Linked DNA regions of Macaca fascicularis. The protein of the gene in region 2 interacts with the protein of the main gene of each other region in a pairwise test. Links are inferred from orthologs where the notes say so. Each region holds a gene or a part of one and is shown on either strand. Other genes may lie near its edges.

Evidence for each region.
Region 1: the proteins of C1H1orf94 (region 2) and MAPK1IP1L interact in binary tests that used the Homo sapiens proteins (3 or more experiments, as listed by UniProt). The two-hybrid records come from large-scale screens. The link is inferred for Macaca fascicularis from reciprocal best matches to the Homo sapiens genes C1orf94 and MAPK1IP1L.
Region 3: the proteins of C1H1orf94 (region 2) and TBX6 interact in binary tests that used the Homo sapiens proteins (3 or more experiments, as listed by UniProt). The link is inferred for Macaca fascicularis from reciprocal best matches to the Homo sapiens genes C1orf94 and TBX6.

What each region holds. Positions count from the first base shown.
Region 1 is NC_088381.1:122,903,075-122,913,138, reverse strand, and holds the start of MAPK1IP1L (MAPK-interacting and spindle-stabilizing protein-like), read right to left. Parts: upstream 4,996-10,064; 5' UTR 4,839-4,995; intron 1-4,838.
Region 2 is NC_088375.1:200,802,170-200,812,096, forward strand, and holds the start of C1H1orf94 (uncharacterized protein C1orf94 homolog), read right to left. Parts: upstream 6,034-9,927; 5' UTR 5,550-6,033; coding exon 5,230-5,549; intron 1-5,229.
Region 3 is NC_088394.1:28,001,929-28,011,797, reverse strand, and holds the start of TBX6 (T-box transcription factor TBX6), read right to left. Parts: upstream 4,996-9,869; 5' UTR 4,690-4,995; exon of another isoform or gene 4,309-4,689; 5' UTR 4,261-4,308; coding exon 4,143-4,260; intron 4,060-4,142; coding exon 3,825-4,059; intron 2,391-3,824; coding exon 2,027-2,390; intron 1,929-2,026; coding exon 1,782-1,928; intron 1,705-1,781; coding exon 1,634-1,704; intron 1-1,633. UniProt on the Homo sapiens protein: T-box transcription factor that plays an essential role in the determination of the fate of axial stem cells: neural vs mesodermal. Acts in part by down-regulating, a specific enhancer (N1) of SOX2, to inhibit neural development.

The DNA.
Region 1 (10,064 bases), on a different chromosome or scaffold from region 2:
TAGCATCTTATTTCTAATTATGATTTGGTTATCATGAGGAATGAAAGGACAAGAACATGAAGGACAAGAACCCAAGCCTATCCCAACTGCTATATCCTTTTTATTCAGAATATCAAAAAACACATACAACCCATTTCCATGTTAAGGTTTAACATCAATCATATCACACAATAAAATTTTTACGACTAACAGTGTAGAAAATATATGGTAAGTTGTAAGACTAACATGCTTTTTAAACAGGATTAGCCTTTCTGAAATAGAAAATGATTCTTTATCAAAGTTCATATTAATTCTGGAGTTGAGAATCAAAGTGAACCAAATGGTCTTGACTGTTCAGGTTTTCAGAATTACACAGTTACCTAGTCACAGAATTACATAAATTATTCTACAAGTTAATAATATTCAACTGATTCACAATACTACTTCAAAATTTTAAAGTTCAAAATCCAAGTTTGGAAGATAGGGGAGGTGCTAGAATCTCGTGATTAAAAAACAAAGCCCTAAGCATAGGAATTAATAACAAGTTCTGTTCTATGGCACTGTCTTAGTAAAGTAACCAGTTCTCCATTACTAGAATAATCAGCGTTCATGTTAGGGTAATCCCCCCTCATCCATGGTTTTAGTTACCTGAGGTCCGAACGTATTAAATGGAAAATTCCAGAAATAAACAATTAAGTTTTGTTTTTGGGATGGAGTCTCGTTCTGCCATCCAGGCTAAAGTGCAGTGATGTGATCTCGACTCACTGCAACCTCAGTCTCCCAGGTTTAAGTGATTCTCCTACCTGAGTCTCCCGAGTAGCTGGGATTACAGGCACATGACACCACGCCCAGCTAATTTTTAATTTTTGGTAGAGATGGGGTTTCATTATGTTGGCCAGATGGTCTTGAACTCCTGGCTTCAAGTAATCCGCCTGCCTCGGTCTCCCAAAGTGCTGGGATTACAGGCACGAACCACTGCACCTGGCCAATTCTTAAGTAAATGGGGCAAGAGCATGTTCTGAGTAGCAAAATGAAAGTCTGCACCCTCCTGCCTAGGACATGAATCATCCCTTTGTCCAGTGTATCCATGCTGTATACGCTATCAGCCCATCTTGGTTATTAGATATAAAAAACATGGTACACTTAGGCTTCCGCAGTGTATAGACTTCAGTTTCAGGGATTCATTGGGGAGTCTTGCAATGTGTCCCCCTAGGATAAGGGGGAACAACTGTAATTGGAAGCATTCCAATTTGCTCTTTGGAGAATACTTTCATTAGAAAAGGTGAAAAACAGAGTTGGACATGAACGTTTCAGTATGAGGAAAGTTGCAGAACGTAAAAAGTTTAGGTTTTCTAAAAAGCTATTCTAAGCCGCGCTTAGTCGTGTGCACCTGTAATCCCAGCTTCTCAGGAGGCTGAGGTGGGAAGACCGCTTGAGGCCAGTAGTTAAAGACCAGCCTGGGCAATATAGTGAGACTCTGTCTCAAAAAGAAAAATAAATAAAAATATAAAGCTATTCCAAAATATCTGATTCACTGCTGATTATTAAGATGAGGCCAATGTAACCTTGAACTCATAAAAAAAATGTATACTTAAGAAAGGCTTTCATTTTTTTTTCCTTTTTGGAATAATCTAAAGCGATTATTTCCAAAACTTTGTTACCATTTTATAGCATCGTCCGATCCACCCATCGTCTGAAAAATAATAATTTTTATTCTCTGAGCAGCAAGAATAGTAATTTTAAAACAGTACAAAATTTCTTTTGACATACACTAGAAAAGTAAAACATAACATTTTGGAAACTCTCATGGCTGTTAGGGTAAAAATGACAATTCAATCATGGGTCAGGGAGGAGGGTGGTTAAGAGAGTTGAACTCCATGAATTACTAGTGGAGTTCATGGATATTTCACAGAGCCTTCAAATTGTGACGGAGTAATAAACAGTATGGGACTACACAGTGATGAAACCCAGACATCAATCCTTTTTGACGGTATCTTTTGACAAAAATAAACTTCTCAATGAGACCATTTTCCATCTGTAGAAGTTATAGCTCCTACCCACTGCACAGAAAATAGTAACACACTTAATCTATAAAGTGCTATATACATGTTAGATATTTATTAGGCAAAATTAAATAAAATCAAAATTTTGGGGTTGATTTGTTTAGTATGCAGGGGATGATATGTATCATACTGAAAATATAAATTAATGGCTGGGCACAGTGTCTCAAGCCTGTAATCCCGGCACTTTGGGAGGCCCAGGGGGGTGGATCACGTGAGATCAGGAGTTCAAGACCAGCCTTGCCAACATGGTGAAACCCCATCTCAACCAAAAATACAAAAAATTAGCTGGGCACGGTGGCAGACACCTGTAATCCCAGCTACTTCGGTAGGCTGAGGCAGGAGAATCGCTTGAACCCAGGAGGCGGAACTTGCAGTGAGTGACTGTCTCCAAAAATAAAAAGTTATAAATTAGAATACATGCTAGTTTTCAGCATTGGCTCATTTATCTGATTATGTTCCATTTTTTACATTTGGGCAACTCAAAAACGGGGGTTTTGAAATGCTCAAAAATCTGAAACTTTTTGAGTGCCAACATGCCGCTCAAAGAAAATGCTCATTAGAGCATTCTGGATTTCGGATGCTCAACTGGTGTAATATAAAAAAAAAAATCCAAAATCTGAAACACTTCTGGTTCCAAGCATTTGGGATAAGGGATATGCAACCTGCAATATTTCTTGGCATTTAGTTATATATTTATTGGAACATATGTGCCAAACAATGTGTTGGGCTTTAGAGAAATTTTAGTATTACATGGAGATTCCTGAGATGTGCTGTCTTTTGCAGTCCATAAGGACCATAAAGAAAGAGCTGGGAGTAGAGGGCGGTGACATGGGTCCTAGGGAAAGAAGAGCAGTTGGTGTAAAAATTGGGAGAATCTGTGAGGAGGTATAAGCAGTTCAGATGGGTTAGAATATAGCAAGGGAAGGGGAAAGTCTTAGCAGAGAGACCTTAGACGAGGGTTTGAATTATTTCAGTAAGAGTCGGCTCATCTGAATGAACCTGAACTATAAAGAACAGGCCATACTGTTTGTAAAAAGCACGCAGTTAAAAACAAAAAACAAAAAACAACCAGACCAGTAATGCTGCGATGAACTAAATTGGACTCTGTCCAATCAAGTGCCTAAAATAGTGCTTGGGTGGAAAACAGGTACCAAATTCTCTTTCCCTTGTATGTGGACATCTAGCTTATAGGTAAAAGAGTAAACGCTAAAGTATGACCATCCAGCTACAACTGCAGCTCTTCACTGGTTGGACTGGCCAGAGTTGACAAGTCCAATTCTCCAAACTCGAGGCAAAGGGAGATCAGAATCGTATGCACATCATAGATTTGCTCTAAGACTTATATAATAAACAAATCTCTTAGTCACTGCCTGGAATATAGCAAAACCTCAACAAATATTAGCTTTTACGATGCCTACTTTTAGGTCCATAAATCTTTATCTGCCCTTCTCAATCCAGAGACTTCCGAAAAAATAAACTTTCCCAAGTTTGGCACAAATCTTACATGGTGGCAAAATGTGACCTGAAGCTATTTATAGTTTCTATTCGCCCCCACTTAGAATGAATGCTCACATCTATTGCTGCAAATATTAATGTTGGATGATGCGGTGCCCCATTCTGCTGGGGGTGTTATCTCTCGTCTAACATGTCGTCTTTCTAAAAAGATGAAGATAAAATCCAAGTATTTTTGAATTCAAAACACACTAGCTTCAAAAGTTTCAGCTAAGAGACTGGGGATGGATATTACCCATTCCTCCTGGAGAGAGGAAAAGAACATTCCAATATTTGCAATTCACTCCAAGTTTCTGAAGCAAACTCGCTTTGCATTGTGGGCTCAGAGATGCCAGCATGAAAAATTTCTATTCTTCCCTCAAAGAACACCAGTGAACAAAGAACTTACAAAATGTTTCTGAAGGCTACCTTTGCCTGTAATGAGGGTTCCTTTTCAAAACAGACCTTTACAACCCCCAGGTGTGTATTTCTCTAGCAGTAAAACTAAAAAAAAATTTTTCGGTCGAGCGAGTCCGGCTTCATGCTTTAACACTGCAATCTTTACCTATTAAAAGCTGTACTCTTGCTTTTCAAGGTAAAGAGGAAAACGGTCCCCCTATATATAAGCTATCGTAGGTATGCGCTCTTCAGTCCTAAAAAGGAGATCCCTAAATTCTGCCCTTCTCGTGGTTTGCCCTGGGTATTCATCTAACGTATCCGTGGGCAATTCCTCTAGTGAGTCATAACCAGAGCGTTGTCACACTGCGGATTAACAAGCGCCCGAGATTCCTGTAATAATCTTTTCAGGCTTTTCCCTTTTTATTAGAAATTAATGAATGGGTGCAATGGGGTGGGGGTAGAGGGGAAATCGGGGCCAAAAGGCGCGAGGCCGGCAGCCTTTTAGGGACGCACGAACAAAGGGAGTCCGGGATCAACCGGAGCGAACCGGCCTCCGAGCGGGTCGCGCCCGCCGGGAAAGGGTGGGGGAGGGGCCGGCCCGCGCCCGCCCCGCCCCGCAGCCAGGCCTGACGTCAGGCGCCCAGAAACCCGTCGGGCGCGACGTCAGCGGCCTCCTACACCTTCTCCCTGGGGGGCGATCCCCAGGCAGCCCGCAGCGTGGAGGAAGGCGACCGAGAGAAACGCTTAGCCCCGGTCCCAGGCAGGCGACCACGGCCCGAGCACTGGACGTGACTCGATGCACCTCAGTTACCGCGCCCGCTTCCCGCTTGGCCGCGCCCGCGGGCTCCGCAACCCCAGCCCCCCGATTCCCCTTCACGACTCCCACTAGTACCGAAGCAGCCTCACCCGGCAATATCCGAGACCGCAGTAGGGTCTAGAAGCGGCGATGGGTCCGAGGGACTGGGCCCTGAAGAAGCGGGCGCAGCCTGACTGACGGCAGGGAAAGCAGCGGCGGCAACAGCACCAGCAGCGCGCGGCTCCTCCTGGCGCCGGAACAGGAAGCGCCGAGCGCACCGCCTCCGCCCGCTCTCCCCCTCCCCTCAGGCCGCGCCGCGTGCGCCTCCCGCAGGCCCCTGGCGGTACTGCGGCCCGCCAGACGCAGGGGGATGGGCTCCACCTGGCGCCGGCCCCGGGCCGCTTTCCCCTGATGGGCGGGCTGAAAGCTCCCAGAGTTTCCGGAGTTCCGAGGACTCAGAGGAAACGCCAGTGGTCGCCGGTGTTCACGGCATACCGGCGGAAATTGCTAACTTGTCTTGAGTTGCTTGAGGGCTGATTCTGGATTCCCTTTGCTCAGCGGTTTTTACAGCTAGGCCTCGAAGGAGGCTGGGTATGGACGCGGTCTGATTTCTGCCTGACCGAACGATTCAGATCCTCGGGCCAAAAGTGGGGAGAGGGAAAAGATTAATACAGGAAAGAGAAAACCTTTGCAAATAGCTTAACAAATTGATATTTGCTGTCTTTGCTGAGTTTTCCTCATCAATGCCTCTTCTCCTATGTTCTTTTTTGTGGTTTTTGAGACGAGGCATCTGTCACCCAGACTGGAATGCAGTGGCGCGATCTCGGCTCACTGCAACCTCTGCCTGGTGGTCTCAAGCTATCCTCCCATCTTAGCCTCCTAGTAGCTGGGACTACAGGCGTGTGTCACCACACCCGCTGATTTTTGTGTTTTTAGTAGAGATGGGGTCTCACCTTGCTAGTCTCAAGCGATCCGCCCTCTTCGGCCTCCCAAAGTGCTGGTATTACAGGCGTGAGCCACCGCGCCCAGCCGCGATCTTCATTTCTGAATAAACATTACCTCCTGTGTCAGGCACAGATGACATGACCCCAGTCAAGGAACCTACTAACTAGCAATAAAGATGTCGTGACAATTATATGGTGTGCAAAATAGACACATATATGCAATATATGTATTTTTTTAGACGGAGTCTCGCTCTGTTGCCAGGCTGGAGTGCAGTGGCGCGGCGCTATCTCAGCTCACTGCAACCTCCGCTTCCCGGGTTCAAACGATTCTCCTGCCTCAGCCTCCCAAGTAGCTGGGACTACAGGCGCGCTCTACGTTGCCCAGCTAATTTAGAGACGAGGTTTCACCATGTTGGCCAGGATGGTCTCGATCTCTTGACCTTGTGATCCGCCTGCCTCGGCCTCCCAAAGTGCTGGGATTACAGACGTGAGCCACTGCGCCCGGCCAATATACATTTTTTTAACATATAAAAATATCCTAAAAGCATGTGGTGCACTTGCATCTTGCTTTGTGTAAGGCATTAGTGAGTCAGGGGGTGGCCATTTAAAACTGTGAACTTATTTAAAGGAAGACATCCCTGGATGTATTCCACAGCAAACACAATTCTCACACTGAAAAAGGGGCAACAGAGGAACTTAAAATATCTAAGCCCAGAGTCTTATTTTTGGATAAGGGCACACAGGCCTATGGAAAATTACACGACTAGTGTGGACCTAGCCTGTCCTCACTGGAGACAGTGAATAAGCAGTGCTTTGTGGAGCCATGGTGAAGCCTGAAGCAACAAGAAATCAGCAATCCAGTCATGTTTGATTTGAAATTTGGTATCTTGCTCATCATAGGCTTTTTTTGGCATCAATTCTGATTTTACAATATTGCACCAAAACATTGTCTTCCTTAGTCTATTAGTCAAATATTTGTGCCCAAGTGCCTCACCATACCCTAGTCCTGGCACTGTACCAGTAATGGATAGCCTCCAACTTTTCCTTGCCTGCAATCAGCCAGTAGCTGAGCACATTGGAGGGGTCTAGATCTAGGCCATTCCTGTCCCTGTGGACTTGTCTACAGGGAACCTTTGCTTGGGAACTAAGTCCTCATCTAGCAGTTTGAAGGTGCACTGAAGTCCAAAGCTCCCCTACCCAATCCTTCCTTCCAGGTGTCAGACTTTCAGAGTGGTATGAAGAATTCCCCACCTTCTGCTCCCTTCTTTATCTTTCTAGGTATTTCACTCCAAATAAATCTCTTGCACCTCTTGGCACCTGCTTCTGGAAGATCCAAACACAAAAAACTAAAAGGAGTGTATTATAAATTAGAAAATGTGTAAGAATGTGGATTTCTCTATTTTTTTCAGATTCTAAGTTGAATGTGTGAAGACATATGTTTTTAAAATAAAACACAAAGCCTTTGGATTTTACATAGGAAGTTTTAATTAAGAAGAAATGAAAATTTATCCAGATCAGTTTATTTGAACTTACATCCAAGAAGAAACATTCAACTTAAGGATTAGAAATAAAAGTGGCAATTGTCTACTTCTTTCGTGGTAAGGAATAAATCATACAAGCCTGATTAACAAGAGTAATAGCTTTGTGAAAACTGCATATTTGAGTACATGTGAACTCATACTTGGCTTATATAGAATTTATCCAATTCTAGCAAAGTCAGCATAATTTAAGTAAACCTTGAGTTTTACACCATGGCTCTCAAGTCTGAAAGCTTAGATTTGATTATAACCATGGCAAAAGTGATTATCTTTATTTTCTGAAAACGTAACCAACTTTTAAAATAAGTTAGGCAAACATCAGTTTTACACAGACCATATTCTGAAGGGTAGGAGGAAACTGCAGTTGTTCCTCTAATTGCAGAGCCTAAACCATAAATTCAAATTGTACTGCTATCTCTACTGTTAAAACAAGTCAAGAAAGTATTTTACAGTCTAAGAGAAGTGAATGTAATTATGCAGGGTCCACTACAGAGATATTTTGAAAACCTATCATCACGTTAGTACTCAATGGCTGTACAGCAATTATTTTAAAGTATGCTCTCAGGGTCACCTCTTGCTGAAGAATTAACCTCCAGGAAGTCGAGTGACAAGTATCACCTACATTTTATAGGAAATAAAGGCAAAGAAGATTTAGACTGAGTAACCTGTTCAAAATTAGAAAGTAAATAAAAAAATAGACTTTGGCTTTATTTTAAAATCCCTTTCTATTGGGTTATATCCATTAATCTACATTTCAACTTCCAAGCCAATCTATTTTAAAAAGTTACCTCCATTTTGTGTCCAGTATCTTACTGTATTAGAATAGTACAGGTAGACTCTTGCACTGCTCATTTCTAGTAGGCCACTAATAAAGAAAAACCTTTGTGCTTTCTGTTCTTTCCTTAAAATACAAATGGAAAACTGACTTTTTTTCCTCTAAAGTAGAAACAGTAGTTTGCTTGGCTAAAAATCTTTTATTCACTTGGGCATTACATCACCTAACATTACACAGGCTATTTTACATTTAAACATTGTTTTCCTTGTGTTGTCTCCAGGAAACTCTTATAATTTTGTCTACTTTTCTGTGAAATTTGCTTTACCAAAATGAATGTGTAAGCTGTTAATTGGATTTTGATTATAGGTAAAAGTGACAAGAAATATTTTAAAGAAAAGTTAAGTATAAGAGTTAGATCTCTGCCAGGCATGGTGGCTCATGCCTGTAATCCTAGCATTTTGGGAGGCAGAGGCGGGTGGTCACCTGAGGTCAGGAGTTCGAGACCAGCCTGGCCAACATGGTGAAACCCCGTCTCTGCTAAAAATACAAAAATTAGCCAGGCATGGTGGCACACGCCTGTCATCTCAGCTACTCAGGAGCTGAGGTAGGAGAATTGCTAGAACCTGGAAGGCAGAGGTTGCAGTGAACCAAGATGCACCATTGCACTCCAGCCTGGGCCGACAACAGCGAGACTCCGTCTCAAAAAAAAAAAAAAGAGATCTCAAGGTTTTTGTTTCATAGGAAGGAAGCTCTCTATTGCGTGGATCTATAAAATGATCCAAACTTCAGAGACAGGAAGCTGATAACTGGATTTATCTTCTTAATGGCTTTGGCTCATGAATAAATGATAATGGTTTATGTGTTTTTCTTATAAAAAGAAATGGAATTTGTGTACTGACAGGAGTCCTACTTGCCACATTTGTTCTACTTATTAAGGGATTTCTAATTACTAAGACATTCTTTATATTATTTATAATAAGAAGTCAAAACTTTAACTGAAAGCCATTCTTTGACCACAGTTGGCCATTAGCTGAAATTCAGGAAAGAACACAGGTTTGATCACCAAATCAATAAATCTAGCCACAGGCTGACTAAAAGCTTCCTTTAATCTTCTTCCTATTAGGTCTTCCTTTAAATTAAACCATTCCCTTCATGAATTATTTAAGTGAATGGCATGGTTATAGAAAGATCACATATAACTCTATACAGAAATGCTAAAGGAACCTTAAAGTCCATTCAGCATACTTCAGGAATTATACTATTAATCAAGATGCTGTAGGCTTCGGAAAAAATGGGAGTGGGAGTATGTCCTGTAAAGCTTCAGAGAAAAATAGAAAAGTCAAGTTTATTTCCTGATTAGCCCAGGATGATTCCCAAAGCGCAGTTAAGTGTCTGGTCCAGACTAGCTATTAGCGATTAAGTAGTTTCTTTTCACTGTCAAGGCTTTTCCCTGAGGTAATGCCTAAATTCCTAATTTTAATATTTGATCTTATTTCTCTTAGCTCCATCCTCTCTCACCAATAAGCTCTCCACATTTCCACCATGCTAAATACTTTCTCAACTCTGGAATTTACACTTTTCAAATCTTCCCTTTGTTCAACAGAGTTACAAAATTTTAGACAAATTTATATATTCCCACATTGTTCCTCTTAAAATTTACTTATTTATATAGTGCAATCAATATACTGTTTACATTTTATATAGGTTAGTTTCTGAATACTCTATGTTCTTCCAAATGTATCCTCACAAGACACAGAGGAAGGGGGTAACCTTTCTGAATTCCAATTCCTTAATATTTTAAAAACAATTCTTACTCTTTTCTTTTCCCTTAAACAATTCCCTTCTCAAGTCTTTATATATCTACTTTCCAAACTTCTTTTCACTGTAGCAAATACCAAAGGAAAAATAAAAATCATTTCAGAGTCAATGAATCTCTTCCCTGCTCTCATTTATTAGATCATCTACTTCAAGGCTACATATGTGGCAGTACTTTTAAGTGTTAACAGCTGTTAATACCTTGAAGTTGAAAAAATAAAAAAAGCCAGAGAAAACATATCACAAGCAATCAGTTTGAATTAT
Region 2 (9,927 bases):
TAGTTAGGGCAATGGAGTCAACAGCAAATCCAAAGACCTCATTCTGAGGCTTTGAAGTTTTAGAGATTAGGGGAATGAATGAATAAGTAATCCTTGAGTAAGTGGCTTGCCACAATTCTCTAAGCCCAAACTTAAGACTAATTAGATTTTGGAGTTAAATCAGCACTAGACAGAACTATTGATTTCTCCCCCAAAACCTGTCACTCCCCATTTCTTCCCCACCTTTGTAAATGGCACACTGTCCAACCAGGGGCTTAAACTTGGAATACATAGCCTCTTTTATTGTCATTATTATTTTAAAAGCTTGAAACTTGGTGACGGGAGTAATAAAGACAAGACTCAGACATGGAACTCAGGCTGATGTCTTAGACTAGAAACTAGCTCTGGAGATCTTTGGAGTCTAATACTCTCAGCTAGTGTTTTCTCCTCTTGGAGGGGTCAACACCTCTTTGAAAATCTGAGGAAAGCTTCTGTACACCCTTTTGCCTGAAAGACATCCTCACATCTCTCAGCATTTGGCGAATGATTTCAGAGACCCCATGGGCCACAGGTTGGAATCCTTTCCACTGAAGCCCTACACTCCCCACCTTGAGTTTCCCAGTGTTGGGTCTCAACATCCCAGTCACATTGATACTGATGCATGCCGCCGTCCTTGTTTGTAGGGTGAACTAGCACATGAAACAGAGCGTGGCCTCAATGTCTCTGTTTGTGTACCCAAATCCTCAGTAGGTCCATTGGCTCATCTTAAAACACACATTGAATCCTCCACTTTTTCCATCCCTACTGCAGTCACTCCTACCCAGCCACTGCCACCATTAGGCCTCCCCTGGACTCTGACAGTATCTTCCCAGAGGCCTCCCACTTCGTCTTTCACATACTTACAAACCATCTCCACACAGAAGTTGGACAGAGATTCAAACATTAGTGAATATGTTCTTGTTACAGCCCTTCCTAAAAACCTGCAAAAGTGTTCCATAACATGTGGAATAAAATCCAAACTCCCCACAGTGATCCTCCAGGCCTCCCGAGGCCTTGCCTGTCTCTGTAATACTTATACTGTGGCCATGTCCCCACCCCTCCTGACTCCAGTCTCACTGTCCCTCTCTAGGCTCACTCCCACCTCACAGTCTTTGCATTTGCTCTTCCTTTTGTCTTTGTTTTGAGACAGGGTCTCACTCTGTCACTCAGGCTGGAGTGCAGTAGTGCAATCTTGGCTCATTGCAGCCTTGACCTCCCTGAGCTCAAGTGTTCCTCCCGCCTCACCCTCCCGAGTAGCTAGAACTAATGTGTGCCACCATGCCCAGCTAATTTTTGTATTTTTTGTAGAGATGAGGTCTTGCCACATTGCCCAGGCTGGTCTCGAACTCCCGGTCTCAAGCGTTCTGCCAGCCTCAGCCTCCCAAAGTGTTGGAATTGCAGGCCTTAGCCACCACACCTGACCATTGCTCTTCATTTTGTCCAGACATTCTTTCCAGAACTTCCTTTGACTGGCTCCTTCTTAGAACCCAGGTCTCAGCCCTGATAATCACATCTCCTCAGAGAAGCCTTCCTTGACACCTGGCCTAAAGGAGCTCTTCCTATCACTTCACTCTGCTCTATTTCCATCATCACACTTGTCACCGAAATTATCTTTTTTATTTTTATGTGTTTCTTATGGGTTTCCTCCACCTGGAATACCATTCTCTTCACATTCCGAAGTTATCAGTTTTTGTATTTACATGCTTCTTTTTTCTCCTGTACTGGAATGTGAGCTCTAGGAAGACAGAGATTAATGGAGTTCACAGCTCCATTCCCCCTAGTTTTTCACACAGTTCTAGCATATAGTAGAAGTTTAACAAATATTTGTTAACTCAATAACTGAGTGAATTAATTAATACATTCAAAATGTGTCCATAGAGTGAAAGTCGGCTTGGGGAAAAAAAGTGAGTGTAGTATTGGTCGTCATTAACAGGAAGCAGAATGCAGACAGGGAGGATCCAATCTACATGGATTGGACCACCCCGGATTACTGTACTTGACTCTCCAAGTTACACTGCCACAAGGACCAGCTGTGTGGACAGGAAACTAACCAAGTTGGCACGTGGGGAGAAACATAGAAAACCAGAGGAGATTAGCTTATAGAGACAAAAACATTCTGGAAGGAATGTTGTTGCTGTCTTGCTGTCTTTCACTATCTAAAGGGGTACTGAAAGAAAAAGGAAATAGCTTTGGCTTGGAGTACTAAGGGCAGAATCCAGATCAATGGGAATTAGCTTGATAGAGACATATTTCAGTGATAGAAAGCAAATGGTCTTTTAGGGGATTCATAGCAAGGGAAGGGGCAGCAAAGGGAAATGGTAAGCTTCCCGTCTGAGAAACTGTACAAGTGGTACAAGTGCACCATTTGGCAGAGACATTAAGGAGGGGATTCAAGCAGCAGAAGATGGCCTCAAAAATCTCTTTCAAATTTGAAATGTCTGGGTTCCTATGATATATAGGTACAGAGTTAAGAAAAATAAATTCTGGCCAAAAAGAGTTCTAGAATGCACTTACCTATCTACCCCAATAAAAGAAAACACCACCAAAACCGGGTCTACAAATTAAGCAGCAGAAACACTAGCTGAGAGGTGTCTTGTGCACCTGAAGGCATTCTAGAAACCATAAGAACAGCTTTCTGGCTTTTCACTCTGTGTGTGATCATTCAGAACATGGGACTCCCAAATATTTTGACTATTCAAAGATGCCTCAGATTCTAAGAGAGGATAGCCAACATTATTGCCTCAGGGCCAAGGTGGTCTTGGGTTTCATTTCTGAAACTCTACCACTTCCTAACTGTGGGACCTTGGGCAAAGAAATTAAACCCTCCAAACCTCAGCCACTTTATCTGTAAAAGGAATTTCACTTATAAATGGAGGGGTGGAGGTAGCAATTGAAGCCAGAATGGCACAATGTGATAATTATCAAAACTCAGTGTAGACACATAGATATTCACCATATTATTCTACGTGTTTGAAAATCTGCATAATAAAAAGTAAAAAGAGATGGAAAGTTCAAAAGAGTACCTACCTCATACAATAATTGTAGAGCTTAAAGAAATGATTACATCTGAATTGCAGGGAATTTTTACAAATCTGAATTATTACCATAGATGTTTAAATATCCCATTTAATCATTCCAACAACCCTACAAAATGTGTAGTATTAATCTCCATTTGGCAGATGAGGAAACCAAAGTTTAGATAAATTAAACCGTAACAAATTCTTCAAATGTCATGGGGCTGAAATGGAATCTGAAACCAGAGTTATCTGACTCCACCAGCACACTGCCTTTATTTTAAGAATAGCTCATTGTGTTCTATTTTGTTGACAATTAGGATATTGTTTATTCATCTAAGTCAGTGGTTTCCTATCTCTTTTCTCAATAGCAGAAACACACTTTTCAAATTCAGCCCTTCTCAGAACTCCAGTAAGTAAAACTGATAAAAGCTAAACAGCTCTGGCTGAAATGGATTTTGGGGCCCAGCAACCAGCCCACTTGACTCCACGGTACCCCTGAAGCACCTTGAGGTATATGGAGCATAGTGTGAAATCCCAGATTGAAGCCGCCAACAACAACAACAACAACAACAACAACAACAAATCCCAACCTGAAGAAGTACAAGTTAAGGGCAGCCTGATTTGTATAATGCATCTTTCATTTCACTGTCTCCCATCACATCGGATCCTCATTATCAACTCTGAGGTGGACAAGGCAGTGCATATCATCCTCAATTTGCAAATGAGGAAATAAAGGCCAAATGGAGTTAAGCAGCTGGCCAAAGGTGCACCAGTTCAATTTTCAGCCAAGTGCAGACTGGAAGTAGAGTCTGTCTCCATTAACTCCATGTGACCTGGCAAAGAGGGTGCCATCTACTGGAAATTGCTACTGACCCTTGGTCCACGAAGTGGACAATCAGCTCCTTGGCCACTGAGAGCTGAGCACAGCCCTCCTGCCAAGGCCCTGTCCCGGAGCAGATGGCAATGAGCAGGGAAGAAGGGCTCAATGCCACTGAAGGGCCTGACAGCAGGGTTTTGGCTGTAGATAGGCCATTCCTATCTGAGCCATGTCGTGCTGAGCACAGGGCAGGGAGGCAGGACTAGCCAAAGTACCTTCCACCTTCATCTGCAGTAAGTAAATGAGCCCACAGAGGGACAGCAGGTAGTGCAGAGGTGGGTGTCCGTTACACTTTGCATTTCTTCTTAGCTCTTGCTTTGGCATCCCTGAAACCTGAGGCAGCTGATAAATGCCTGAATGGCTCCCCAACTCCAGAGCATCTCTGAACTGAGCTGTAGCATGTGTTGGAGCAGGCAACACTTAATTATCGGTTAGTCTTTAATTAGCTCTTAATTATTAACACTTAATCCATCTGTAAAATGGGGACACTAATACCTGCCTCATAGGGACTCTGGGAGCATTAATTAAGTTTACAGTCCACTTTGAAGATGCAAAATGTGAAATAAGTGCTCAACAGTGGTATTAATAACCACAGCAGATTTACCTTCTTTTCCTAATGAGGTCCCTTTTTCCTCTCTGCTCCTTCCTTTCCTTTCGAATATCCATCCCCAACAATATCTGCCCAACTTTGCCCTGATGGAGAAACACTTAGCTCTGTGTTTCCCAGACACAGGATTTCCCATCCAGGAAACGGGCTATTTACAGCCATCTTCCCGCACTTTAATTTTCTATTATGTCCTCTGAATATGTCAGTGCCTTCCCAGTAAATATTTTGATGTGTGCTCTTGCAGCAGCTTCTGTGGAGGCTGAATGGGACAGCTGCTCCCTGTATTAGGGAATTCCAGATGTGATTTAAAACCATCAGTCTCATCCATGTGAATGCCTAGCCTTTAGGTGGGAGAGGGGAAGGATCTTCTAGTTGCTTCTGGGGAAAGTCACGAGCCATGTAACCCTTAGCCTTGGCTAGGGTGGTTTTTCAAGGACCTCAGATTCACATGCGTTTAGGATGAGAGATGTCTGCTTAGTGGGCTAGTGAAGAGGCAGCCTGGAATATAGCCCTAATCTGGCTCTTCACCCACGAAACATCAGAACCTTGGTCAGCTCTTCTATAACGCTTGGACAAAGGACCATGGAAGGGGCAATATACAGCCTTTAGGGTTTCAGCAGCCTCAAGGGTGGGCCAGAACATTCCCCTAGAAGGTCAGACTTCATCTCCTCCCTCCTCCCTTTCTGCCAACGGAATAGGGGGGTACTCACTCTTCTTGAAAGCTGAGCTCATTGCCTCTTAGAGTTCCAGCCACGGGGACAGACAGCTGCTCCATGGAGGTCCAGGGCTGTGAGGCTTCAGGCAGGCCTTGAACTCTCTTCCAGATTTCATGGCAAGTCTTGTCTAGGCTGTCTTGGGGTGTGTCCTGGTGGATCCAGATGTATCTGGGGAATGGGCCCAGGGCGCAGGGGCGCTTGGCCACCAGGGCCGAGGATGAAGGAAGCCCATTCCCACTTGCCATCCTCCTCCGCTCTTTCTGGAAGCCCCTCTGTCCACCCAGGGCTAGAAGACATCCACCACCACTCCTCATTCACCAGAAAGGGAGATGAGGATGGGTCTTGGCAGAAGTGGGTCAGTTCTGTCTGGCTGTCGCTCCCACAAGGTGGTTAGGTTCAGAGGCCTTCGATTTGTGTGGGAGGGGTGGGTGGAGGACAGTTTTCTTTTGGGGAGGGGAGGGCTTATTTTGATTTGTTTTTATTTCCTCTTTCCTAACTTTTGCCGCCCTCCCCCTCTCCCTCAGAAGAAAATATTTAAAAGTCAACAAAAACCAGTAGCTTAGGAACAGTGGAATGCCCCGGAGCTCAGGAACCAGGCGCCTGGGCGGGCAGAATGACATCTGGGAACAGCTGGAGGGGGAGGGCTGGCTCTCCCCACAGTCCCTGGCACTGCCCCCTTGCGACGCCGCCGTGACACCTTGCGGCGCCTGGGCTCAGCCCATGCTGGCCCGCTAGGACACGCGGAGAACTGGGTGCGGGCCTGACACCATGGTAGGCACCCGGGGGGCGGGGCCCCGCAGGAAACGCTCGCCTGGGCGTTCCCAGGGAGCCCCTCGCAGAGCGAGCGCCAACGGCCCGGTCCCCGCCGCCGGCCCAGTTCTTGCTTTACTCTCGCCCTACCCCACCTGCTCCTGGTCTCCCGCTGCTGCTCTGCCGCCCCGGGAAAGAAGGGACGAGGCGTGTGTGGATGGGCCCACAGCCCTCAGTCCCGGCCCCCAGCAGACCCCTGCCCTGGCCGCGCCGCGCTGCGGGATGGGCACCGGGAAGGGCCCAGCAGCTCAAGAGCGCGCTGACTCGGCAAGGCAGGCTGGGCCGGGCGGCTCCCACCAATTTGCCCTGCCAATGGCTCCCACACCCTCGCAGTCGTCGAGCGGGGGAATTCTTTCTGTGGGTTTCAAACGCAACGGCTCGGTGCGCGGGACGCCCTGGGTTCGGAGCCCAAGACCCGCCGGTGGGGTGGGTGGGGGTGGGGCCCAAAGGACCCCAGAGCGCTTCGGCGGATCAGAAGTCAAAGCCAAACGCGCCGCCGCCCCACTTCACCGCTCCACACAAACCTCAGCTCCTGCCTGGGGGGCCCCCTCATCCTCGAGTTTAATCCTAACTGCCATTTTATGGGGCGCTTGCCCTGTGCCAAGCGCTGGGCTCACATTCAATCCTATCAAAGCTCGTGAAATTAGTACCACTTTTTATTATCGTTCTAAATGGGAGGAAAGCGAATCTCAAAGTCATAAATGATAGTGTCCAAGGCCCACTAAGAAAAGGGGAGCTGAGATTCAGACCCCAGCACTCTAGGCCTGATCTAGCCCTTGAGCACTGAGACTGCTTCAGTAGGTGGGCAGGAGCAGGGGTAGGAGGTCCGAGGTGCTGGGAGAAGGGCTAAGTTAGCTGTTTACTGATCAACAGGCCCCTACCCTCACTGAAGCGGCTTCATTCAACTGGGCACTGACACAGTACCTCCTCTGAGGGAGACTTTCTGGTCCCAAGAGTCAGGGCGTTGTTTCTTTAATAATACTCCTGGAAAGGAAGAGCAAGAGGGTGGAGAAGGAAGAAAGAAGAATGGACACAAATAGAAGAAGATGGCAGTCTATAAATGCAGGGCTGGGTTGAATCCTGACACTTCCCCGCTGTGTGACCCTAAGAACTTTCTGAACTTCTCCTATCCCCATTCATAATTCCCCCAGTACTGATGCAACCCCTCCTTTGTGCCCGATGAGTTGCTGGGCACTGAAGAAGCATAAGGGTGGGCAAAAGTGGCATGGTCCCTGCTCTCATGGAGCCTGTATACTAGTGAGGGGAGATCGATGCAAACTAGCCAAGCGAGTAAAGCAGCAATAATTACAGATGCAATGGGGCTCTGATGGAAAATAACTATTAGGTTGGTGCAAAAGTAACTGTGGTTTTTGCCATCACCTGCAATGGCAAAAACTACGATTACTTTTGCAACAACCCAATAACAAAGTGAGGCATTGGGGAGAAGAGGGGAGGCAACATTCCGTGGTGGTCCAGGCCCACCTCTTTGAGGAGGTAAATTTGAGAAGGATGAAAGGAATTCCTTTTCTGTAAAATGGTGTTCATAAATTATGAGGATCATGTTTCCGGCACATAGTAAGCACCCAAAAAATGTGTTGGATGAATTAATGGTATACTGTATGTAAAGTGCCTGTTATATAGTAGGTGCCCAATACACAACCTTGCTCTTTACAGAGGGGCTGAGTTCCTGGAAATGTTGACTCTAAATTTTGAAATCTGAGCTTCATTCTCCTTTGATTTTCATTACAAAATTGAAGATGTGTTCCTTTGGGGAAAATTCCGCGGGCCTCGACCGAATAAAATTATAGTTAAGAATGTAGAAAACCTTTTAAAATAGTGTATTTAAAGGAAAAGTGATCATTTCTGATGAAATATTAATAGTTCTGAAAATGTCACTCAGTGTTTGTGCTGCTTGGCATTTGGTTGGCTAACACCTAAGCTTAGAGCAGAACACCAACGACCCTGCACTGCCCAGGCCCCAGGATTCTGGAAAGTTAGCCAGCTCACTCTCTCTTCCTGTTCCCTCTCCCCCTCAGCAGGAGACCAGGCAACAGGGGCTAAATCAGAAAGAACTGAAAAAAAAAAAAAAAAAATCAAATACAGCAGGGATAGGGAACAAAGATAGAGCATGTTTTTAGCGTGCACAGATGAGATTTCTAGAAAATTCTGCAAAAATCGTAAGTGATGTACTTAGAAATAGTATAAAGCTATGTCCATATGGTAGCCACTAGCCACATGGGGTTGTTTTAATTTTAATTTTATTTTAATGTAAATTAAATGAAAAACTCAACTCCTCATTTGCATTAGCCACATATTATATGCTCAGGAGCCACATACGGCTAGTGGCTACCATATTGGACAGCACAGAGAACATTTCCTATCATTAAATACATATACTCAGGAACCAGAGTCCCTGGGTTCAGATTCTGAGTTCACGTTTTCTGGCAATGTAGGCTTAGGCAAGTTCCTCTGTGCCTTAGTGTATTCGTTTGGGAGGGCTGCCATAATGAAGTCCACAGACTGTGTGGCTTAAGCAACAGAACTTTATTTCCTTGCCATTCTAGAGGCTAGAAGGCCAAGATCAAGATGTTGGCATGGTTAGTTTCATTCTGAGGTCTCTCTCCCTGGCTTGCACTTGACTGTCTTCTCCTTATGTCCTCACATGGTCTTCCCTGTATATCTGTCCCCATCCTAATGGCTCCTTTAAAAGACACCAGTCACATTAGATTAGGACACACCCTAATGGTTTTTTTTTGCTTTTGTTTTTGTTTTAATCTTAACTACCTCTTTAAAGGACTCATCGCCAAATATAGTCACATTCTGAGGTATTTGGGTTTAGGATTGCAGTATATAATTCAGCCCATAACACTTGATTTCCTAGTCTGTAAAATGGGATGATAATAAAGAACACTTGCTTTGTAGCATTACTATAGATATTCTATTACTCACCAATTGCTTAACACATGGAAAGTCCCTCGAACAACAACTGGCAGATAAACGTGTATAGTCATTTGCTTGTTGATTACACTGAAATGCATGCCTTTGGAGTTTCTGAATAGCAGATTTGGTGTTTTGTGTAGGGAGGGAGAATTTTGTTGTCCTGGGGAAGTTGTTCTGTGATGGAGAGATGAATTCACATAATCACTTACTCCTTTCCAGGCTTTGTTCAGTTTTTAGCACCCATCGTGGGTCAAAATTGTGCAAGACACAGGGATTAGAGATGATGAAAAAGATGTCTACCTAGACAGAATCACCTAGAGAAGGAGGCAGGGGTAAAGCATTCCATAAGTGCCTGGTGCAGAGCAGTGTGATATAAACTGACTTATTCCAGTTTCCATCCAACATGGAGTTATGTTCCTCCAACACATGTATCTATGCCCAGCACTGTTTGAGGTGCTGAAGATAGGGTAATGAAGAAGACGAGCTTGGTCTCTGTCTTTTTTAGAGTTTGAAGTGAAGCATTTAATGGTCATGGACACCATTTCATCTGTGAATTATTTTTAGCTTGGAAAACTTCTTGAACTCCCCCTGACTACCTACATTACCCTGGGCAGGTTGCTTTAACCTCAATGTCTCCATTTGCTCATCTATGAAACAGAGACAGTAAAATATCGACCTCATAGACTTGTTTTATGATAATGAAATAATACATGTAAAGTGCTTATAATAGCTTGGCTAATGTATGTATCCAATGAATGTTGGCTATCATTATTTAGAATTCTGGGATTCTTAACTTTTCTCTGTGGAACCAGGAAGGCCTAAGGAAGAGGCAATTCTCCTTACCTCCCATCCAGTCAAAGCCTCTTGTCACCTGGCTTTCATCTCTGACACAAACATGGCTGGGCTGGAAAACTCAGGAACATGGGAATGTCCTAGGCTATT
Region 3 (9,869 bases), on a different chromosome or scaffold from region 2:
TTTTTTTTTTTTTTTTTGAGACGGAGTCTCGCTCTGTCACCCAGGCTGGAGTGCAGTGGCCGGATCTCAGCTCACTGCAAGCTCCGCCTCCCGGGTTCACGCCATTCTCCTGCCTCAGCCTCCCGAGTAGCTGGGACTACAGGCGCCTGCCACCTCGCCCGGCTAAGTTTTTGTATTTTTAGTAGAGACGGGGTTTCACTGTGTTAGCCAGGATGGTCTCGATCTCCTGACCTCGTGATCCGTCCGTCTCGGCCTCCCAAAGTGCTGGGATTACAGGCTTGAGCCACCTCGCCCGGCCCCTTTTTCTTTTCATTTTTAAAATTTGAGATGCAGTCTTGCTATGTTGCCCAGGCTGGAGTGCAGTCTGGAGTGCAGTGACATGGTCACAGCTCACTGCATCCTCCGACTCCTGGGCTCAAGTGATCTTTCCATCTCAGCCTCCTAAAGTGCTGTGACTACAGGCATGAGCCACCAAACCTATCCTTGCCTTAGTGCTAGCGCAAGTTCCTCAAGGAAGTCCTCCCTGATCTCCGAGAGCACACACCCCTCCCTCATAACATCTGTCACAGTTATGAGACAGTTAAATGCAAATGCTTTTGCATTTGATGGAGTGACTCCTTGGTTCATGTCTGTCTCTTCTGACAAACTGGAAGCTCCTTGAGGGCAGGGGCCAGCTCTGAGGGGCTACACTTGGAACAGTTCCCACGGCCTTATGGAACCTTTACTGTCCAAGATAACCTGGCTTCCCCTCCCCTGCCTGACTCCTACTCACTCCACTGCAGCCACGCCACAGGCACAGCCCCACCTCAGGGCCTTTGCACGTGCTGTTCCCACTCCCTAGTGTGCTTTGCCAGATGCCCACCCGGCTCCCTCCCATACTTCCTTCAGCTCTTTCTCAAGTGTCTTCTTCCTGCCGAGGCCTTTTCAGGCCTCTTATCTAATAGCTCACCCCAGTCCTTCCTATCCTTTCCTGTTTATTTCTCTTCTCCTTTTTTCCTTTTTTTTTTTTTTTGTGACAGAGTTTTCTTTCTTTCTTTCTTTTTTGATACGAAGTTTTACTCTTGTTGCCTAGGCTGGAATGCAATGGCACGATCTCGACTCACTGCAACCTCCACCTCCTGGGTTCAGGAGATTCTCCTGCCTCAGCCTCCCGAGTAGTTGGGATTACAGGCGCATGCCACCATGCCTGGCTAATTTTTGTATTTTTAGTAGAAACAGGGTTTCACTGTGTTGGCAGGCTGGTCTCAAACTTCTGACCTCAGGTGATCTGCCCGCCTCAGCCTCCCAGAGTGCTGGGATTACAGAAGCAAGCCACCGCACCTGGTCTCTCTTCTCTTTAGAATGGCTTCCTAACAGATGGCATTTTATTTATTTCTCTTGTCTGCTTGTCTGCTGTCCCCACTAGAAATCAGTTCCATCAGGGCTGGGGCTTTGGTTTACTTTGTTTGATTTATCTCCAGTGCCTGGAACTGTCCCTGGCACATAGCAGGTACTATATAAGTATTTGCTGAGTCAGTGAATGAATGTTTTTACTTACCACTGTATTCCTGATGTCCAGCACGGTGCCTGGCACACAGTGAGTGATTAATAAACATTTGTTGAATGCATGAACGAATGAATGAACAACTCCCACCTCTTACAGTTTCTGCCGTTCTCCCGGAAGCCTTTGGCAAAGGGATTGGCTGCAATCTTCAGTTGTGTGATCTGGGGACACATATCCAGGGTCAAAGCAACTGTGGTCTGGGCAGGGCGCCACCACCCCCTCAAGCAGGGGCACTCACCCGTGGGTTCTGGTAGGCCGTCACGGAGATGAATGTGGTCTCCGGAAAGCGAAAGGAAGCCATGCCCCCCCAGTGCTGGCTGCAGAGCTGAGCTGCCCGAACTAGGTGTATGCGGGGTTGGTACTTGTGCATGGAGTGCAGGATCAGCTGGGAGGGAGGAAATGGGAGTGATTCCCTGCCCTGTGCCCCAGCCTTGGCCTCCCTTCTAGCACCCCCCAACCCTAGAGTCCCAGCCTGGGCCTCACGTGGCCGTGGGGGTCCAGCGTGCTGTTGGTGAGCTTGACACGATGGAAAGACACAGGCTGCCTCATCCAATGTGCACCAGTGGCTGGAGAGTCGGGGTGAATGTAGACACGGTCGGGTAGGCGGGGCTCTGCCTTGCCGCTGGGCTCCCACCGCCGGCCCTGCCAGCGATAGCGAGCCCCGTCCACCGGAACCACGTCCAGAAGAAACAAGTAACGGGCCTCGGGGTCCAGGCCAGTGACTGACACTCGGCAGGCAGGGAACATGCGCCTGTGCAAGGGAGGGGACAGGAGAGGCCTGGTGCTACCCACTGGCCAGGGGTGGGCCCAGCACCAGTAACGGGACATAGCAGCAGGCTCCCCAGAGCTGTCAGAGAAACATCAAGGGAGGTGGAATTAGAACCCAGAGGGCAGGCCGGAGGCTGTGGCTCACACCTCTAATCCCAATACTTCGGGAGGCCAAGGTGGGAGGATCTCTTGAGTCCAGGAATTCAAGACCAGCTTGGGCAACACAGAAAGACCCCATCTCTACAAAAAATTAAAAAGTTAGCCAGGCATGGTGGCGCACACTGATAGTCCCAGTTACTATAGAGGCTGAGGCAGGAGGGTCACTTGAGCCTGGGAGGTCAAGACTACAGTGAGCCACAATTGCACCACTGCACTCCAGCCTGGGCAACAGGGCAAGACCCTGTCTCTGAAAAAGGAAAAAGGGCCAGGTGCAGTGGTTCACGCCTGTAATCCCAGCACTTTAGGAAGCTGAGGCGAGATCATGAGGTCAGAAATTTGAGACCCAGCCTGGCTAATATGGTGAAACACTGTCTCTACTAAAAATAAAAAAATTAGCCAGGTGTGGTGGTTTGTGCCTGTAGTCCCAGCTACTCGGGAGGCTGAGGCAGGAGAATCGCTTGAATCCAGGAAGCAGAGGTTGTGGTGAGCTGACGAGATAGCGCCACTGCACTCCAGCCTGGGCAACAGAGCGAGACTCCATCTCAAAAAATAAAAAAAAGAACCCAGAGGGCAGAATCTTAGATCTGGAAGGTTTTCTTGTCTCATTTTACATTTGGGGAAACAGGACAGACAGGTTAAGCGATCTGTCACACAGCAGGTTAGGAACAGAGCCATGACTCCTACCCCTCAAAGCGTATTTGCAGAAGCAGGGGTGACTAACTTTCTTGCTAGGAGCTTCCTGTCCCCACCCTCCTCTCCTCCCCTGATGTCCAGCACCAGAATCTGCAGCTTTTAGATGAATTTGCTTTAGAAAAAATATACCCTGCCTGCAGTAGGGCTGAGGACTTTCCACGCTAGGGCTTGAGCTCCTGCCCTAAAGACCTCGTCACAGGCCACACACTGACCATGTCCCTGCCTCTAGGGTGACCCTGGACCTAGATATACTGAGTCCTATTCAAGCTGCATACTGATCCCCAGTCCTGGTCAGATTTCCCTGATGCTGGTCACTGGGCTGGCCCTTGACCCCCTGTCCTTGTCTGGACACTGGTCTAGGCCACACACTAACCTATAACCCAGCAGGACTTCCTGACCCTGCCCCAGACTGACCCATGACCCTTGCCATAGATTGGTCCCTAAACTCAGCCACAGACTCCACAGACTAGCCCTTAGCCCTTGTCACAGAATGACTCCTGATTCCAGCCACAGAGTAACCCCTGTCCCAGGCCATAGTCAGATTCTAAGCCTAGGCAGAACTCTAGCCCCTAGGGAACCTCCCAGACCTAGCCCCTCCTCAGGGACTCTGCTTTTCCCAGGAGACCCCCACCAGAAACACGGACCCTGACCAGCCCCTCACCTCCCAGCTTTGGTGATGATCATTTCTGTTCCCACAGAGCTGAACTCCTTCCATAGCTCCCGGTTCTCCAGGCTCAGGCTGACCCCAGGGAGGGAATGGAGGGCCTCTGGAGCTGATGGGGCCGGTTCAGTGCCCATGGCAGGGGGCAGAAGGGGCAGAGGTGGGTGTGCGGCCAGGGTGCGGGGAGCAGCCTCCATCCCGGAGAGGAAGCAATCCAGTTTGGGGGTGTCCAGGTCTGGAAGCCGGGGAAAAATGAGGAGCCAGCCAAGGGCCCCAGCCTCCCTATTCTCCTACCCAGGAGCTGGTCCCAACGCTCACCGGGGTAGCGGTAGCCCTCTGCTAGGCCGGGTGGGAAGCTGGAGTCGGCCCCAGGTTGGGCGGGCCCCAGGCGGTAGCCGGCCCCCAGGGACGGGTACAATTCTCGTGGATGGTACATGTTGTAGTTCCGTCTGGTCTCAGGTCTCGCTGCCTAGAGCCCCCGGTGCTGCGAGATGCCCCCTTTATAGCTCACAGCTCAGCCCCTTCCAGACCCAGGATCACAGCCCCTCCCCTCTTTGGGGCCCTGGATTTGGGCTGGGGTGGAGACCCCTGGGGCCTCGAAGGGGTCCGAGCAGGGGCCGGATACCTGGGTACGGTCCCCTCCTTCCCTCCCTCCCCACCCCGGGCGGCTTCATTAGCCTCGACCCCCTGCCCCCTCATTACATAATTAACTCCTCGGCTTGATTGATCCCCGGGGCTCGGACAGGGACGCAGTTTGGCGCTTCCGGCCAGCTGGTCCCCGTTCCCACGGGGGGGAGCCCCAGCTAGGGATAAGCTGGGGGGCGGGGCATGGAGCCTGGACGGAGCCTGGAGTCCCGGGACACACCTTGGCGCCCCCGACCTTCTGGCAGGTGACCGCCCTCCGCCCCCCTTCACTTGGAGGCCGGGCCCTGGAGGGAAGCAGCATGACCAGAGGGAAAGTGCAGGCTGGAGGGATGCGGCCTGAGCTGATTTCACAGGGCACTCGGGGTCGCGAGGAGGCCGCAGCCCAGTCCCGAGCACCGTAGTCCTCCCTGGTCCCCATGCTTTAAAAAAAACCTCCACGCTGAGCCAAGCCTCCAAGGTTCGGAGGCGCGCACAGTCCGACAGCTTCTGACGCCTCGCGGCAGGGTTTCCCAGAAGGTCCCACGCTGGGGAACCCTCGGAACTACACTTCCCGGCAGGCCCAGCGTTGAGGCGCGCCCGAAAGAGCCGGATGGACCACGCGGGGGCCGCTGGAAGTTGTAGTCCGGCCGCGAGGGGGCTGCGAGGCCGGCGACGCGGTTGCCTCCCTGGGGCGCTGTCCCTAGGCGGCGGCCAAATGCTGCAGCCGAGCACACGCAGATCAGGCGAGGTCACAGCGTAGGCAGCCAGAGTGGGCTCCGGGCCTCCGCCGGCAGTGAAACCGCCCCGGTTCCTGGAGACCCAGCTTGAACGACTTGCCTACCCCATGCCCCGCCGGGTCTCAGAACCGCACAGGTCTATAGGGGCAGAAATCTCCGCTTGAGCTTCCCCTCCCCGGATTACACGCGAGCCTGAGCTGTCTCCACTCCATTGTTTTATTATGTACAAACGCTACAGAACGAGGGGGACAGACACGCGTGGGGTCAGAGGGGCTTGGTGGGAGGAGTTCACAGAGCAGACGGTGCACTGGGGCCAGGAGAGCAGAACACAGGCCATATCTATAGGGTAAGCGGGGAAGGAGGGGGTTAAAAACGAGATCCAAGCCAGCCAGATCGCAGGAGGTGCGGGGGCGTCGTCCCCCTTCTGTTCTCCCCCCAAGGTCACAGTGCATGCAATAAAATATATGTACAGGAGCTGGATCCGTCCTCTGCAGGGGCCCTGAGGGTCCAGAGCTCCCTTTGGGCGGAGGGAAGCCGGTGGCGCTCCCTGGCGGCCAGGCCGGGCTGGAGCCACATGCGTCGGGGAGCGGGGGTCAGTCCCAGCCGTTGTCTTTGATCATGTGGTTGAGTTCAATGATGTACTTCCCCTCTTTGTACTTCTGGCTGCTCTCAAAGGCCTGTTCCTGAAAGGAGGGGCGGGACCATCATCCCCGGAGCAAGTCTCACCACAAGGCACAGGGGTTGGGGAGTGGACATGAGTGGCCCCATTTTACATATGAGGAAACTGTGGCGGAGGGGCAGGGCCGCGTTTCTCACAAACACAGAGTAGAACTCCCTGACTCAAAGGTACTTTTCAAGTATTAATGATGGCTCCAACAGAGAAGATAGGGAAGTGGCTAAAAGATTTCACAGTTCAGGTTTGCAAACTGGTGGCTTCATGGCCATTTTGGCCTACAACATGTATTATATGTGGCAAACGACATATATAAACTCTCTCTTGGACAGCAGACAGTTTAATAAAAATAACTTTAAAGTATTAAAATATAATTAGGCCGTGCTCACTCCAGTTTGCCCAGCCTGCCCCCAACTCCCAACCCCTCCAGTCTATGCTACCCTTTACACATCTACAGTATCTGCTTGGCCTTGCAGGCACTTGAGGGTTTTTTTTTGTTTGTCTTGTTTTATTTTGAGAGGGAGTCTCGTTCTGTTGCCCAAGCTGGAGTGCAACGGCACGATCTCGGCTCACTGCAACCTCCGCCTCCTGGGTTCAAGCAATTCTCCTGCCTCAGCCTCCTGAGTAGCTGGGACTACAGGCACCCGCCACCACGCCGAGCTAATTTTTATATTTTTAGTAGAGATGGGGTTTCACCATGTTAGTCAGGCTGTTCTTGAACTCCTGACCTCAGATGATCCACCTGCCTCGGTCTCCCAAAGTGCTAGGATTACAGGCATGAACCATCATGCCTGGCCTGGCACTTGAGTTTTTGACCTCTTGTCTAGGCCAGCTCTTTATTTATTTATTATTATTATTTTTGAGACGGAGTCTCGCTCTCTCGCCCAGGCTAGAGTGCAGTGGTGCAATCTCGGCTCACTACAAGCTCCGCCTCCCAGGTTCACACAACTCTCCTGCCTCAGCCTCACGGGTAGCTGGGACTACAGGTGCCCACCACCACACCCAGCTAATTTTTAAAATATTTTTAGTAGAGACGGGGTTTCACCGTGTTAGCCAGGATGGTCTCAATCTCCTGACTTCATGATCCACCCACCTTGGCCTCCCAAAGTGCTGGGATTACAGGAATGAGCCACCGTGCCCGGCCGGCCATCTCTGATAGAGGTCGAGTGGCCAAGCCACCTGTCCAGAGACACACAGCCAATCTGTGGCAGGGCCAGCAGTGAGCTCAGGTCAGGGCTGGCTGGCTGGCTTTGCCTGGGGCATCTACCTCACAGAGGCACCACAGCTCCAAGCGACGCCTGAAGAATCCTGTTCCTTGCAGTGTCCCAAGAGCATCTTCCTTTGCCACATCTAATCTGATCCCTGTAACAATCCTGGGCGCTAGACAGTGGCTTTATCTTCCACTGACAGATAAGGAAATGAGACTCAGGGTAGTGAAATCAGACCCTGGACAGCAGCAGTGGCAATGAGGGCTATGGAAAGGGAGGCTGGTGAACCCAACCTCCATGTTGTTGCACAGTCTGGGGCAATTTTTTCTGATACTCTGAATGACAATATAAGCTGGTGGTCAAGAGTTTGGAGTGAAAAAAAAAAACCAACCAACTCAGATTCTGGTCCCTATTCTGTCACTTACCAGTTGTGTGATCTTGGGCAAGTTACCTAACATCTTTGGGCCTCCCTGTCTTGTTCTGTAGAGATAATACTAGCTTCTACCTAAAGGATCACTGCAATGATTGAATGAGATAACAGATGCCAGGCACACAACAGTGCAAGGCGCATAAGCATTCAATAAATGGTGACTCTGATTATATCCTAACTCTCAAATGCGGATCCAAGTGCCTGGGAGAAGGGATAGGTTAAGAGAAAAGTTCTACAGCCCTTGCAGGGTGCAAGAGAAGAAAATGTGGTCAGGGATGAAAAGACAGTCTGACTTGTGTGAGCTAGGCCTATGCAATCTGAAAGGCTATAGGATGACTGCTTGTCAGGAGGAGGTGTTGGAAGGTCAGGTCAAAGGCTAGCCTAGGGTCAGAGGTGGCTGACTCACATATTTCCAGCCCAAAGTGGTCTTGCAGTTCTCGCAGTGAATGTCGGCGACAGCATGGAGGCCGGTCAGCAGCACCCGCTCCTCGGCTGGCCCGCAGCCCACGTTCACCCTGTGGGGACATGGGGCAGTCCCAGGGAGGGTCCTGCCATCACAGGGCCCCCCTCAAGCACTGTGCCTGTCCTCCGCATCCAAGAGATGATGCTCACAGCTTCCTGCCTGCACCGGGGAACTCTGGGAGTCTCAGCAGGATGCCAGGGGTCACAGGTCACAACAGATGTCAGGGAAAGCAAGAAGGGAGGCCAGATACTCACACAGAGTTGAAGAGGTAGGCACGCCCCTGACTGCCCTGGAAGGACTAAAGGGTGGGAGGGTGGGAAGAGAGGAGGGGGTCAGGGCTGCCGGTGGGGAGCTGCCAGGCAGCCCCTATAGGTTCCAGCCCCACTGTGGCCTGGTTGGTTACCTTGGAGATGAGGTCGTCGTGGTTGGCCAGGTGAGCGCGGCAGTGGGCACAGCTATACCTCCGGTGACAATCATCCAAGTAGGCCTGAAACGTCTTGGGCTTTGAAATCCGCACCATGGCGGGGGCCGGGGGCAGTGGCCCCACGCGGGGAGCGGCCCACGGGGAGCAGAGGGAGCCCAGTGCCTGCCGGGGAGGGAGTAGGTGGGCTGTCAGGACCTGGGCCATACACATGCGAGGCACTCCCAGAGCCGTGGGGACTCACTCTGTCACACTCGGCTGCTCTCTCCTTTCCCCAGAGCCAGCAGCCTCTCGGGGACCAGAGGCGTCTCAGTTTTGACTCAGTGAGGAGGCCTCAGGTTGCATCAATGGGGAAACTGAGGCTCGGAGGAGCCCAGGGTGAGTCACCCGCCTGCTTCCGGCCTCACCCTTGCTGACCTGGCAGCTGAAGCTGGAGGAAGGGGCTTTGGAGGGCTGGGCTGTCAGTTCCCAGTTTCGGGGGAGCATGGACGGGCAGGCGCTGGTTGGTCCTTGCGACCTCATCTGGAGAGCAGTGGGGTTCACTGGGGGTTTCGGGGGTTCATCGGGGAGAGGGTCCCCCGCCTGGAGGAGGCAGGAGGCCTCGCCGTGAAGGTGGAGGGTCACCTAGCAGAGGAGGGGCTCTCACCTGCGGTCGCCTAGGCCTCCTCTACGCCCAGGGGCTCTTACCTGCATCGCGGAGCCTTACCTGGACCCCGGGGCTCACCTGGGGCGCGGGGGTGGGGGCGGGCGCCGGGGGAGGGGGCAGTCCTGGCCAGCTGGGCGGGGGCGCGGGGCGACACGCAGCCCTGACGGCGCGGGCCTCACCTCGCCTGGGCGCGCGGGGCCCGGTCCGCCGGGGTGGGCTGGCCTGGGAGTGGGGGGCGCTCCTGGCGGGCGCCGTCCCCCCCGGCCCGGGTTCGCAGGCGCCTGGACTTGTTTACACCGAGCCCAGCTGCTGCCGCCGCTGCGGCGGGAGGGGGAGGGGACCCGCCTCCCATCCCGGCGGCCGCCGTGGCCAATGGGCGCTCCGCATGCAAATGAGGGGGCGCGTCACACGGCGGCCGGCGCAGGCCCCGGCCGCCCCTCCCCCGCCGCCCGCTCCCGCCGGCCCGGAAATGCGGCTGCGGCCCGCGCGCCCCCGGCCTGCTAGCATTCCTGCTCGCGGCCCGCGCAGGGGCGGGGTCGGAGGGTCTAGTCCCGGCGCGGAGCGGGGAAGCGGCTGGCGCTGGGACGCTTGCCGTGGGGAGATGAGTATAATGACCCGCGTTTGCCCGCCACCCGTGCCCCGCTTAATCCCCGCATCAATCCCGTGAGGCCGTTTCTCCCGTTGACTCCACTGTACCGGGGGCTGAGGCCCAGGGAGGTCTCGCGGCTCCCCAGGTTATCCAGCTAGTAAGAGGCGAAGCTGGAATTCTCACTGTGGGCCCATTCCATGGCCTTTGCCAGAGCGCCAGGGGCACTCTCAGTTCACCTCTTAGAAGGGAAGACC